Saccharomyces cerevisiae S288C: one gene and its partners. Changing the gene in region 2 together with the main gene of any one other region gives a genetic interaction. Each region holds a gene or a part of one and is shown on either strand. Other genes may lie near its edges.

Region 1 (3,009 bases), on a different chromosome or scaffold from region 2:
ATAAAACCCATGGTCTGAATTTGGAGCTTCATATATGTTTTCGATATATTCTGATTCATCAGGTAACGCAAACCGTGGTATCCGTCTAACACGATTGACAGAACTACCCCAGGAAGGATGATTATCGTAATGTAAGGAGAATTGGTTGGTTAATTCATTTTGATTGTAAACAGCAAATTTATTAGAATCGCCAGACACTACCATCGTTTGACCATCATGTGACAAAGAAGCGTTATTCAAAGGAAATTTTAAATCCGCATAACGCTTCACTAGTGTTACATCTCTATTACTTACATCGCATTGGTAAAGATGACCATCATTGTTGCATGCAAAAAGATCAAACTGCATACTGGCCCTGTCATAAAGTGTGACACAATTATTGATGAACTGGCCCAACGTAAAAGTCATCATTGTGTCCGTTTCTTGATTATAAAACTCCACGATGCCCTTCCAGATATTAGGATTTGAATAATGTGAATTTATAGGGAAACTAATATTTTTGGAAATATTAATCGGTTGGGAAGGTGGCGGCAACGAAATATTTGCATCTTGAGCTAAACGGTTCCAATTAGAAGGGAATCCCTTATCATCAGAACCGATTAGACCACCACAAACAGTCAACCCATTTAATTCCGTGAAACATCTCGGCTTAAAGTTGAACTCTACCAGTTTCTCGGAAGGAACATGTAAATTTTTGGAGATATACGAGCCCGTTGTCCTAGAACCTTTTGTAGACGTTTTTTCAGTAGAGTTTTTACCACTGTTACTCGGTTGAATAGAATTATGTCGCCTTACTGGAGACCTCAATACGGAAGAATCCGTATCTAGTACTCTTATCGAATGATCGTAAATATAATACAGTTTACTCTGGTTCATGGAGCCTGGTTTGATACAATCCCGCAACTGCCAATGGTTTATGGAGACCTTGGCATCGTAGAGTTCTAAAGCAGGCATCATATAGTTTTGGTAAACCTTATCAGAGCCAGTATTTAACCGTTCATCTTGCAGCGCCTCCTTAGATTGCCCCGTGCCATCAATGGTCATTCTTTAACACGTATACTTTTGTAACTTATTGCTGTTTTTCTACCACTTTATTCGATCTTACTTGTCGTTGCTTAATCAGCAAAAGTTTTGTACTAGAATAAAGTTGTAATAGGCTTTTAATCCAGAGTCTCCTCCTCCTCACTTTCTGATCATCACCCCTTATTGCCTCAGAAAAGAGATCATACTCCGCTTTAAAGCCGTTCAATGTCACGTGACACAAAGTTGTAGCCGTATAACATATGGCGCTACCATGTTGTTATTTAGACGGGTAACATCACCGTTTAGAAAGATAAAGGAAAGTGAAATTATTGGAATGGAAAGTGTTCCCAAAAGTTCGCACCAACGCAAAAAGAAATTTTTTTTTCAATTTTGATATCATCGTTGCGTAGAGGAAGCCCTAACTGAGTAGAGAAATTATATGGTATTTTCCTTGTAATATTTGATTTTGAGTCGATATCCCCTTTGTTCTTCTTCCTTCCTTCGCTTGTTTTAGTTGTATACTTGGTTTATTGTGGAAGATTTTTTTTTCTGCTTCGTAGTTTTAAATTAGAAGTTATTTCTTTGCAAATTTCTCTTCCCCCCACAGTATTCTTTTAGAGGTGAAGTAGAAATAAACCAAGAAAGCATACACATTTTATTCTCAATGTCCAACCCATTTGATTTGTTAGGTAACGACGTCGAAGACGCTGACGTTGTCGTTTTGCCACCAAAGGAAATCGTCAAGAGCAACACTTCCTCCAAGAAGGCTGACGTCCCACCTCCATCCGCTGACCCATCCAAGGCTAGAAAGAACAGACCAAGACCTTCTGGTAACGAGGGTGCTATCAGAGACAAGACCGCTGGTAGAAGAAACAACAGATCAAAGGATGTCACTGACTCTGCCACCACCAAGAAGTCCAACACCAGAAGGGCCACTGACCGCCACTCTAGAACTGGTAAGACTGACACCAAGAAGAAGGTTAACCAAGGTTGGGGTGATGACAAGAAGGAATTGAGTGCTGAAAAGGAAGCTCAAGCCGATGCTGCTGCTGAAATTGCTGAAGACGCTGCAGAAGCTGAAGACGCTGGTAAGCCAAAGACCGCTCAATTGTCTTTGCAAGACTACTTGAACCAACAAGCTAACAACCAGTTCAACAAGGTCCCAGAAGCTAAGAAGGTTGAATTAGACGCTGAAAGAATTGAAACTGCTGAAAAGGAAGCTTACGTTCCAGCAACCAAGGTCAAGAACGTCAAATCTAAGCAATTGAAGACCAAGGAGTACTTGGAATTTGATGCCACTTTTGTTGAATCTAACACTAGAAAGAACTTCGGTGACAGAAACAACAACAGCAGAAACAACTTCAACAACCGTCGTGGTGGTAGAGGCGCTAGAAAGGGTAACAACACTGCTAACGCTACTAACTCTGCTAACACCGTTCAAAAGAACCGTAACATTGACGTTTCTAACTTGCCATCTTTGGCTTAAGCCTTATATATGAATAATTCCAACTGAAAGAATCCAATAACAGTGTTCTACTTTCTGTTTCTATTACTATTATTATTTTAATTGGTTATTTACTATATAATTTGCAAGTGAAGATGATCATGCTGGCAAACCAAAGAATAAAATTGGGTTGACATCCAATCGAGAATATGACATATCATTTTGTTTTATTTAAGCAATAAAAAATAAATGACTTTTAATTTACTTTTCAATTTTCTTTTTTTTTTTTTCACTTCTGAGATGTGCAAGCGTGTAGTTTGTTTGTATTTGTATAACAATTTCATCATTAGTCATTCTTCATTAAAAACTTTTTGTTATCGATTAAGGACATCCAGTATGATTCTTTTTCTCTCATCTTGATTATCTCTTGAGAGTATTGTTAGGCAACGCATTATACCACAGTTTTTTTTACCAAAGCGAGCGGCACTCCAGCAGGTGCTTCATGTAGTATTCAGGTATCACATCGCTATATTTTAAGTTTC
Region 2 (7,091 bases):
ACACTTTAATATTAATAAATTGGAAGATTTCAGTCACATATTTGACAGAGGAAAATATAAAAATAAGAAGTAATAAAAGTAAATCATTATATATAAAAAAAATTAAGCATTATTCACACCTGATAAGGATTTTCTAAAAGACGACGCCATTATTAGAACAGGAGCAATTCAAATCGTTAAGCAAAGAAAAGAAAAAGAAAAAGAAAAAGTATGTGAAGGGTATAGACGAACAAAAAGGAAATCATTGAATTTATGGCATTTGATTGACGTTCCTGTTTGGTTCTGCAGTGCTACCACTCATAGCGCCAGAGTGAGCTCCTTCTGTGACCTTTTCTTGATAAGACCGATCACCTGACTCATCCGTAGAGTAAGCGTGCTGGTCCACTGCACTGTTAGCGACATTCGCAGAACCAGGATTACGATCGTTGGTGGTGTAACGCGTCTTAGGGTCCGCTGTTGTTGTGGTGTAACGTGTGTTGGTGGTGGTAGTATGGTACTGCCCATTGGGGTCATTAGTTGCATAGCGTGCGTCGCCATTCGGTTCAGATGTGTAAGCAGCATTATCACCTGCACCTGCTTCGACATCACCGGTCCTAACATTGGTGTTATCGTAAGCAGCTGTTTCTTCAAAAGGCTCGCTTAAAGCTAGTCCGCTCCACCTATGGAGCTTTGTACCCATAGAAGCGCCGCTTCTCCACATTCCTTGGGTTTGATAACGCTTCCTGATAGGTGTTAAGACATTAATTCCCAGTAATATCACACTGATCAAAAACAGTACAAAGCAAAGGCCAGAAAAGGCGATTGCCGCCTGAGAAGAATTACATGCTCTTCTATGACTGTCAGCAGTATATTGGCCACTGTACGGATTATAGTATAATCCGTCTGCATTAGTGTTGCTACAGCTACGTTCACCTTGAGCTTTGGCAAGAACAACGAAAGCTGCTAGCCATAGCATACAAACGATCAATTCGGCACAGAAGTACATTCCTATGTAGATCAATGTGGGTAGGGCCAGACACAAAATACCTAAGGCAATCAGATAAAACACACTAATGACACCTGTTGCCAATGTGAAGTTGGTTTTCTTATTACCTCTATTTCCATAGGCGTGGATGGCATACGCCAAAAGTGACATCACCAAAACCGATGATGCAAATTGAGAAAATCTCAAAAGTGTTAAGAAAACTCCAGTAACTCGTTTCATAACGTTGATATAATATATCTATTTGGTTTATGTTCCTCAATTGAAAAAAAAAACCGTAAACTTTCGTACTGAGAACATCAAAGCATAATGGTAACGGACGCTTTGTTGAACCTTTTTATACGTTGTCTTTTAGGGAATGTTAACCAACCATCGTCATCCCTTAAGATACGGTTTCAATATCCCTTGGAAACCAAATATACGTTAAAGTCATCAACGAGTATGCTTACTGGTTTATTAGTAACACAAACCTCAAAATCTCCTTAACTATCGTCAATTTAAGGGTATATATCCCCTTTCTCATTGTGCGTTTCTTTTTCCATGCCAGGTCAATACTCTCCTATGACTGGAAATACACTGTAAACATGCTTTTAGCCCTCTGGATTAGTAAGACTGGCAGGGCATCGCTTCGCCGTCCCTTTTTTCACTTTTACATTTTTTTTTTTTCATTTTCGCCCTTAAAGTTTTTTAAAGTTGATTTACTTACTTTTATGTAAAGAATATAAAACAATTCTAGACTTTCTTGGCGAAGGTTATTGAAGGAAGCGTGAATTCAAAAATCCATCACAGATATTTTGTATTCATTTTTTTGGGGAGGGCTCCTCTCCGCTCTACTCAACTTCACTGAGAACATAACATGGAAAGATTTTGGTACTTTATCTTGCGAAAGAAAGATTGCAAATAATGTTTGCTTTTTATTTTCTTCTCGTATATATCTATAAGGTCAATCTTATTGGTCACTGTCAAGAATGATTGTAACGGGCCCTTCATTAGTTAAAGAGCAACTCATCATTGCGCCGAATTCACCATCCTTTACTTTTTCCTCACCCAAATCACTTCTTAGTAATTTTAAGAATTCTTCATAAAGTTCTTTAGCTATATGACCCTTTTGGGCCAAATGGAAATCGGGTTTAGTTCCCTTCTTGGTTTTTGCCATCAAAGTGAATTGAGACACGGATAGAATTTCACCATTGGCCTCTTTAATATTCTTCTTCCATAGATTTCTGGATTCATCTTCGAAGATTCTCAAACTAAGAACCTTTTTCGATAATTTATCTATCTCCGCCATAGAATCATCAATGGAAATACCTACTAGGAGCATATAACCATGTTTAATACTGTCACATAGATAGAGGTGTTAGTAAAAAAAATTGGTGCACTAACGAAGCTGAAAAAACCGGTAACATACCTTGAAATAACTTTTGAATCGACGACTACAGATGCTTGGCTGACTTTTTGTAAGACAATCTTCATTGTAAATCCGCTGCTGAATAATATGTGGATTATTTAATATGTACATGCAGCCTTGATTAACGTGATTATACTTTTTAAACCTTTGATATCCAAATTTTTCAACGTCATAAGAGACGCGAAGGCCTAGTGAGATGCGAAATGCTAATTCAAAATGGAAATTTAAGAATATATTCATATATGTTTCTCTTTGGATACGAATGACCGTGGAAACTATCGCCTAAAAATGGATACCTTAGAAGAGCCTGAGTGTCCTCCACATAAAAATCGTATTTTTGTGAGCTCGAGTAAAGATTTTGAAGGCTATCCCAGCAAAGCAATAGTTCCCGTGCAATTCGTGGCGCTTTTAACCTCAATACACCTGACTGAAACAAAATGTTTGCTAGGCTTTTCTAATTTTGAGAGGCGAGGAGATCAATCCCAAGAAGATCAATATTTAATCAAACTGAAGTTCAAAGATAGGGGCTCGGAGAGGTTAGCCCGGATCACTATTTCCTTACTTTGCCAATACTTTGATATTGAACTGCCAGATTTAGATTCTGACTCAGGCGCATCCCCAACAGTAATACTGAGAGATATTCACCTTGAAAGGTTATGTTTTTCAAGTTGTAAAGCTTTATATGTATCAAAACACGGGAACTATACTCTATTCTTAGAGGACATAAAACCGTTGGATTTGGTAAGTGTGATAAGCACCATATCTACAAAATCGACAAATAGCAGCAAGCATTCGTCATCAGAACTTATTTCAGAATGTGATTTGAACAACTCACTTGTGGATATCTTCAACAATTTAATAGAAATGAATAGAGACGAGAAAAACAGGTTTAAATTTGTAAAGTTGATTCACTACGATATAGAACTAAAAAAGTTCGTTCAAGACCAACAAAAGGTATTATCGCAGAAATCAAAAGCCGCAGCAATTAATCCTTTCTTTGTGCCAAATAGACTAGGGATACCTTACATTGAATCCCAAAACGAATTCAACTCGCAGCTTATGACGCTTAATGTAGATGAACCGACCACAGATATAAGCAACATGGGAGAGGAAATGCATGACAGCGCAGATCCCATTGAGGATTCAGATTCCTCAACTACCTCCTCTACCGGGAAATATTTCAGCTCAAAATCCTACATCCAGTCACAGACACCTGAAAGGAAAACAAGCGTACCAAATAATTGGCACGATGATGATTCCGGAAGCAAGAGGAAGAGAAAGCTTTCTTTCCACAGTCCGAACGCGTCCTCAATCCGCAAAGCCATCAGTTATGAGCAACTTTCCCTAGCTAGTGTAGGCTCAGTTGAAAGGTTAGAGGGCAAAATTGTTGGCATGAATCCACCTCAATTCGCCAGTATAAATGAGTTCAAATATTGCACATTGAAATTATATTTTACGCAGCTCTTACCAAATGTCCCAGACAAGGTCCTGGTGCCAGGCGTCAATTGCATTGAGATCGTTATCCCGACGAGAGAGCGAATCTGTGAGCTCTTCGGTGTTTTAAACTGTCAAAGCGACAAGATATCGGATATTTTACTACTGGAAAAGCCTGATCGAATTTCCGTCGAAGTTGAAAGGATCCTGTGGGACAATGACAAGACCGCCAGCCCAGGTATGGCAGTATGGAGTTTGAAGAACATTAGCACCGACACGCAGGCGCAGGCGCAGGTGCAGGTGCCTGCGCAATCGTCGGCGTCAATCGATCCGTCTCGCACAAGGATGAGCAAAATGGCAAGGAAAGACCCCACCATCGAATTCTGTCAGTTGGGACTCGACACTTTTGAGACCAAATACATAACAATGTTTGGCATGCTAGTCTCCTGCTCGTTTGATAAACCTGCCTTTATATCTTTTGTCTTTAGCGATTTTACCAAGAACGATATCGTCCAAAACTATCTTTACGACAGATATCTAATAGATTACGAGAACAAGTTAGAGCTGAACGAGGGCTTCAAAGCCATCATGTACAAAAACCAATTCGAAACGTTTGACTCTAAGCTCAGAAAAATATTCAACAACGGGCTAAGAGATCTACAGAACGGCCGCGATGAAAACCTTTCGCAATACGGCATAGTTTGTAAGATGAATATAAAAGTGAAAATGTACAACGGCAAATTGAATGCCATTGTGCGCGAATGTGAGCCGGTCCCGCATTCCCAAATAAGCAGCATCGCCTCGCCTTCACAGTGCGAACATTTAAGATTGTTCTACCAACGAGCGTTCAAGAGAATTGGCGAATCCGCAATTTCACGCTATTTCGAAGAGTACCGGAGGTTTTTCCCCATACATAGAAACGGTTCTCATCTCGCGAAACTGAGGTTCGATGAAGTAAAGCATGAACCAAAAAAATCACCCACTACACCAGCTCTCGCAGAACACATACCCGACCTGAATGCAGACGTGTCCTCCTTCGATGTAAAGTTCACAGATATATCTTCTCTCTTGGACTCCTCGGCTCGCCTCCCGCGCCCACAGCAAACACACAAGAGCAACACATTATACAGTTGCGAGGGCCGTATCATCGCCATCGAGTACCACGCATCTGATCTCTGCTTCCATATCACGAATGAGCTCCCACTTTTACAAACCCGCGGCTTGGCCCCGGAGCGAGTGTTGCAACTACACATCATTACCTCCAAGAACTTTGCTTATTTTTTCAACCGCTCAAGCGCCTACTTACAGCGTCAGCCTCTTGAGGAAAAATATACGCAATTGGCACAATTTCTCGGCCATTCATTTAAATTCAATATAACCTCCTCGCTCACGCTGTTCCCTGACACTACCGTGGCACTCCAGATCTGGTGCCCAATTGAATGCACCTTTCGGGAATTGCAACAACAGCTGGCCCATCCGAAGGTTGCAGCGGCTCCTGATTCAGGGAGTCTTGATTGCGCAATTAATGCTACCGTCAATCCTCTGCGACTTCTTGCCGCGCAAAATGGCGTCACCGTGAAAAAGGAGGAGGATAATGACGATGACGCCGGAGCCGTTCCCACCTCGTAAGACATGATCCGCGCAGCCCAACGCGGCGGTGCCAAATTGCAGTGACGTCTCGGAGTAATATAAAAAAAAAAGACCAAATAACCAAATTTAAGGGTGCTCTGAATATAAGGGAGTGGAACGTTTTCACACGAAGGAAAAGGGAAAGAGGGGAGTGGTAAGAAGCAAGAGTCAATGAAAGGTCTTCCTTCCTTCTTGATGCTAAAACAAGGATAGTCTGGAATGGGGAGGAGCATTCGGCGCAGATGCCGACATATAAAAGGATGGTTGCTTTGCAACAGTTACTTGATCTTGCTTTGTTCTCTTGATTAGTTATCCGTTAGATGCAAACTTTAAGTACAGTAATTTTGAAGTGAATTAAAAAGAAAGAGGTATTTACGTTTAACGCTTATACTTTCCTTTTTATCCAAGTAACAAGTAACACTAATCACTATAATCTACCGCTATGATTTTCAAAAGGTTCGTTAATTTGCTTGTGTTTTTATTCCTACTCGGTGCTGGCTTATTGACGTTTTTTCTTATTCTGTCAGGAGGCAGAGAATCTGGAACGCTGAAAAATTTTTATTGGTTACAGGCTGATACAAACGGCTTTAACAGCGCTCCATCGACCACGAGATGGTACAATTACAATTGGTGCGGCTACGAAGACGGCCAGCTAGCTAATTGCTCTAGCAGGGCGCCCGCCAAGCCTTTCTCTCCCAGAGACAATTTTGGTAACTCTGTCAATTTACCATCGTCGTTCAGAAACAACCGGGATACCTACTATTATCTATCCAGGGTTGGATGGGCCATGCTGCTGATTTCCCTATTTTTCATCGTACTGGCGCTGGTACCCGGCTTTCTGGCTACCTTCCTTCCTTTCAAGGCAGTGCCAGTCCTGTACTGTGTGTTGTCCTGGTTGGCCTTTTTCTTCATTATATTGGCTGCATGCTTGTACACAGGTTGCTATGTGAAGGCCAGAAAGACCTTCCGCAACAGCGGGAGGTCTGCAAGGCTGGGACCCAAAAACTTTGCGTTCATCTGGACTTCGGTCTTCTTGATGCTCGTGAACGCCATTTGGTCCACTATATTCAGTGCTACCCACAAGGCCCACTCTACCTACTCGGACCACGACATGTATGCCCAATATGAAAGCCCTTCTGTTGACACCGGTGCTCAAATGGAGAAATCCACTTACAATAGTGGGGCGACGGACGGCGCGGGCCCTATCACAGCCGCACCTGTGGTTGGACAGCCTCAACCTACAACCACCACTACTCCGGCTGGCAATGGCAAGTTCTTTCAAAAACTGAAAACAAGAAAGCAGGTGCCATCAGCTGAGTTAGAACCAGCTGGGGATGGTGGTCTTGCCGGGCCAGTGACGGTACGCGACTAGGAAGGAAATAATCACCATAAAATACTTCCTAATTTTTTTTTTCTTCCTACATTCGCAGTACCATAACTCTGCATCTACCTCCAACCGAAATATTTTTTTGTGACATGGTATAATCCATATGTATCGTGCTGAAATTTTTTCTTGGAGATTTTCATTTATTCTCCACCATTCTTTCTCGCCTCCCCTCCTCCTTTTCCTTCTAATAATAACTTAGTTCTTTTTCCTTCTTCATTAAAGAGACTAAGAAAAAAAAAACGTCAATAATA
Region 3 (3,908 bases), 680 kb from region 2:
TGAACATTACGGGTTTATCATTTGCTGTAGCAAACGAAACAAACTCAACAGTTGGTGTCTTGGGTATTGGTTTGCCTGGCTTGGAGTCAACTTATTCTGGTGTTTCTCTCAGCTCTGTACAAAAAAGCTACACTTACAATAACTTTCCGATGGTGCTAAAGAATTCGGGTGTAATAAAATCAACAGCTTATTCTTTATTCGCAAATGATTCTGATTCGAAACATGGTACCATTTTGTTTGGCGCTGTGGATCATGGAAAATATGCGGGCGACCTATACACAATTCCCATCATTAATACTTTGCAGCATCGCGGCTACAAGGATCCAATTCAATTCCAAGTCACTTTACAAGGATTAGGTACGTCGAAAGGGGATAAAGAAGACAATCTGACAACCCTAACCACTACAAAGATCCCAGTCCTGCTAGATTCAGGTACGACCATATCGTATATGCCAACTGAGCTGGTAAAAATGCTTGCCGACCAGGTCGGAGCTACTTACTCTTCTGCATATGGTTACTACATAATGGATTGTATCAAAGAGATGGAAGAAGAGAGTAGCATCATCTTTGATTTTGGTGGATTCTATCTTTCTAATTGGTTAAGCGATTTTCAGCTAGTCACAGATAGTCGTTCAAACATTTGTATACTAGGTATTGCACCGCAGTCAGATCCGACCATTATTTTGGGTGATAACTTCTTAGCTAATACTTACGTGGTATATGATCTGGACAATATGGAGATATCAATGGCTCAGGCTAACTTCAGCGACGACGGTGAATACATTGAGATTATAGAGAGCGCGGTTCCAAGTGCTCTTAAAGCACCTGGTTACTCAAGCACTTGGTCTACATATGAAAGTATTGTCTCCGGCGGCAACATGTTTTCCACGGCAGCTAACTCCAGTATATCGTACTTTGCTTCCACGTCTCATTCGGCAACAAGTTCTTCCAGCTCCAAAGGCCAAAAAACCCAAACAAGTACGACAGCTCTCTCTATTTCAAAATCTACCTCAAGTACTTCCTCAACAGGAATGTTATCTCCCACCTCAAGTTCATCTACGAGAAAAGAAAACGGAGGACACAATCTGAATCCTCCATTTTTCGCCAGGTTCATTACAGCTATTTTTCATCACATTTGATAAATCCCTCCCTCCATATAAGCATTTACTAGACTTTAAAAGTTGCAATGTATATCTGGAGGTATAACATTGTACATTACTTGAAAGAAAAGCGTCTTTTAACGTAAAATAAATAATACTGTTCTTTTTTATTGTTACTGGCTTCTTAATCAACAATTATATACTTCGACGCAAAAAGCCGGGTAAAACATTCTATCTGCCATTGTCAAAAAATATGAAAGAATTTTTTACATATAACTACATTGCATTAGTATCACCAAATCAATAATGAAATAATAGCTAAAAACTATATATTGAAGGAAATATAGTTTATCATATATATCCTCTAGTGAAGCTACTATAGATAGAAATTATTTAGCATTTCAGGATAGTTCGTTTCTCCCTTTTTTCCCCTTTGTTTTCTCTCATAGTCTTGTAACCTCAGCTTTTGTTCATTATGAGTGAAAGTGGTCAAGAACAAAACAGAGGCACAAATACATCACCAAATAATGCTGAAAATAATAATAATTCAAATGCAGCTTCCGGTCCACTCAATGGTGGTGCTGAGCAAACAAGAAACATAACCGTTTCCATTCAGTATTCCTATTTCACTCCGGAGAGATTAGCACATTTGAGCAATATATCTAATAATGATAATAACGAAAACAACAGCGCAGCATCCGGTAGCACGATTGCCAACGGTACTGGGCCCAGCTTTGGCATCGGAAATGGGGGCCATCAACCCGACGGTGCTCTTGTTTTATCTTTTCGTGATGTTCCTGCGTCTACTCCACAAGACCGTTTGAACAGCTTCATATCTGTTGCTGCTCAGCTTGCAATGGAGAGATTCAACAGACTATTAAATAGACCAAAAGGAATATCAAAGGATGAGTTTGATAAGCTCCCCGTTCTGCAAGTTTCTGATCTACCCAAGGCCGAAGGGCCCTTATGTAGTATATGTTATGACGAATATGAAGATGAAGTTGATTCAACTAAAGCAAAAAGAAAAAGGGATTCTGAAAATGAGGAGGAATCTGAAGGAACAAAAAAAAGGAAGGATAATGAAGGTGCGCCCCTACGCACAACCGCCGATAATGACAGTAACCCATCGATTACAAATGCTACGGTTGTTGAACCGCCTTCTATTCCTCTCACTGAACAACAACGCACTCTCAATGATGAAGAAACAAATCCAAGCTACAAACACTCACCAATCAAGTTACCTTGTGGCCACATTTTTGGGAGGGAATGTATCTACAAATGGTCAAGATTAGAAAATTCTTGTCCCCTTTGTAGACAAAAGATCAGCGAATCTGTAGGTGTTCAACGTGCAGCCCAACAAGATACGGATGAAGTAGCAGCTAACGAAGCTGCTTTTGAACGTATTAGACGAGTTTTATACGACCCAACTGCAGTGAATAGCACTAACGAAAATAGTTCCGCCCCATCCGAAAACACGTCCAATACAACGGTTCCCACTATCGGAAATGCAAGTTCTGGCGAACAGATGTTATCAAGAACAGGCTTTTTTTTAGTGCCTCAAAACGGCCAACCTTTACACAATCCAGTCCGTTTACCGCCTAATGATAGCGATAGAAACGGTGTCAACGGGCCGAGCTCAACTACTCAAAATCCACCCTCTAATTCTGGTGGTTCGAATAACAATCAAAGTCCGCGCTGGGTTCCCATCCCTTTGACTTTGTTCCAATTCCACAGTCCAAATCCGAATCCTTCCGCTTCTGATTCTTCGGCAAGCCCATCAGCAGCGAACGGTCCAAACTCAAATAACACTAGTAGTGACGCTACAGACCCTCACCACAACAGACTAAGAGCCGTTTTGGATCACATATTCAACGTTGCTCAGAGGGGAACTTCTGATACCTCTGCAACAACAGCACCCGGAGCACAAACTGTTCACAACCAAGGACGTAATGACTCATCGTCCTCTGATACAACGCAAGGAAGTTCCTTTTTGGAAAATATTTCACGATTAACAGGCCATTTTACGAATGGCTCAAGAGACAACAATAACGACAATAACCATAGCAATGATCAACAACGAGGTGGAAGTACTGGTGAGAACAACAGAAATAACTTGTTTTCCTCCGGTGTTGCCAGTTATAGAAATCAAAATGGTGATGTTACTACCGTCGAACTACGCAACAACAATTCTGCTGCCTTTCCTCCTACAGACGAAAATCCCTCTCAAGGCCAAGGTTCAAGCAGTTCGGACACCACCATTCATAACGACGTCCCTAATGATAACAATGAGCAACGATCATCACAATAAACAATACCGCTTCTGAAGTATGTTAATATGAAAATATGTCCTATTGGCAGTCATCCATTTTCAGACATTATTTTCTACTCCTTTTACCTTTTTTTTATCTGCATCTTTATATATATATATCATATACTTATTTTTCTTTACTTCTACTTAAAGTTCTATAATCATTGTTAATCAGAAATTTGCATGTCTCCAGCAAGTAAATATGAAGGCCGAGAAATTAAACCACCGACATAACCTCCTCTGAAAAGTCGTTTCGCAAAACAGTAAAAGGTGAAAACACTTTTAAGAACTGTGGAACACAAACTGTGTTTTCTTACCATAAAATCTTTTACCGGAGGTCGAAATCGTTTTCTTTCTGATTTGGAATTCGACGCTCGAAAAGTGCAGAGATCTCATATTGTTAACGGACTATCATCTAACTTTTTGCATAATTTATACAACATGCTCAGATATCATATGCAAGGTTTTAGTGGGTACGGTGTCCAGTATTCTCCCTTTTT

What was found.
Region 1: of CDC13 (region 2) and STM1, extra expression of one rescues a mutant of the other (dosage rescue), as found in Saccharomyces cerevisiae (4 studies listed by BioGRID, with this or other methods).
Region 3: of CDC13 (region 2) and SAN1, a mutation in one rescues a mutant of the other (synthetic rescue), as found in Saccharomyces cerevisiae (5 studies listed by BioGRID, with this or other methods).

What each region holds. Positions count from the first base shown.
Region 1 is NC_001144.5:438,780-441,788, forward strand, and holds STM1 (Stm1p), read left to right. Parts: upstream 1-1,687; coding exon 1,688-2,509; downstream 2,510-3,009. Other genes in the region: GID11 (Gid11p), read right to left, coding at 1-1,044; PCD1 (8-oxo-dGTP diphosphatase), read right to left, coding at 2,936-3,009. UniProt on the Saccharomyces cerevisiae protein: Ribosome preservation factor that protect a small pool of nontranslating, vacant ribosomes in cells under nutrient starvation conditions.
Region 2 is NC_001136.10:60,606-67,696, reverse strand, and holds CDC13 (telomere-binding protein CDC13), read left to right. Parts: upstream 1-2,678; coding exon 2,679-5,453; downstream 5,454-7,091. Other genes in the region: YDL218W (uncharacterized protein), read right to left, coding at 251-1,204; DTD1 (D-tyrosyl-tRNA(Tyr) deacylase), read right to left, coding at 1,932-2,319, 2,391-2,455; FMP45 (Fmp45p), read left to right, coding at 5,896-6,825. UniProt on the Saccharomyces cerevisiae protein: Single-stranded telomeric DNA-binding protein that regulates telomere replication. Has a role in both positive and negative regulation. Promotes [TG(1-3)] strand lengthening via interaction with EST1.
Region 3 is NC_001136.10:741,542-745,449, reverse strand, and holds SAN1 (ubiquitin-protein ligase SAN1), read left to right. Parts: upstream 1-1,575; coding exon 1,576-3,408; downstream 3,409-3,908. Other genes in the region: MKC7 (aspartyl protease), read left to right, coding at 1-1,139; PEX7 (Pex7p), read left to right, coding at 3,850-3,908. UniProt on the Saccharomyces cerevisiae protein: Plays a specific role in mating-type regulation of yeast, by acting post-translationally to control the stability or activity of the SIR4 proteins.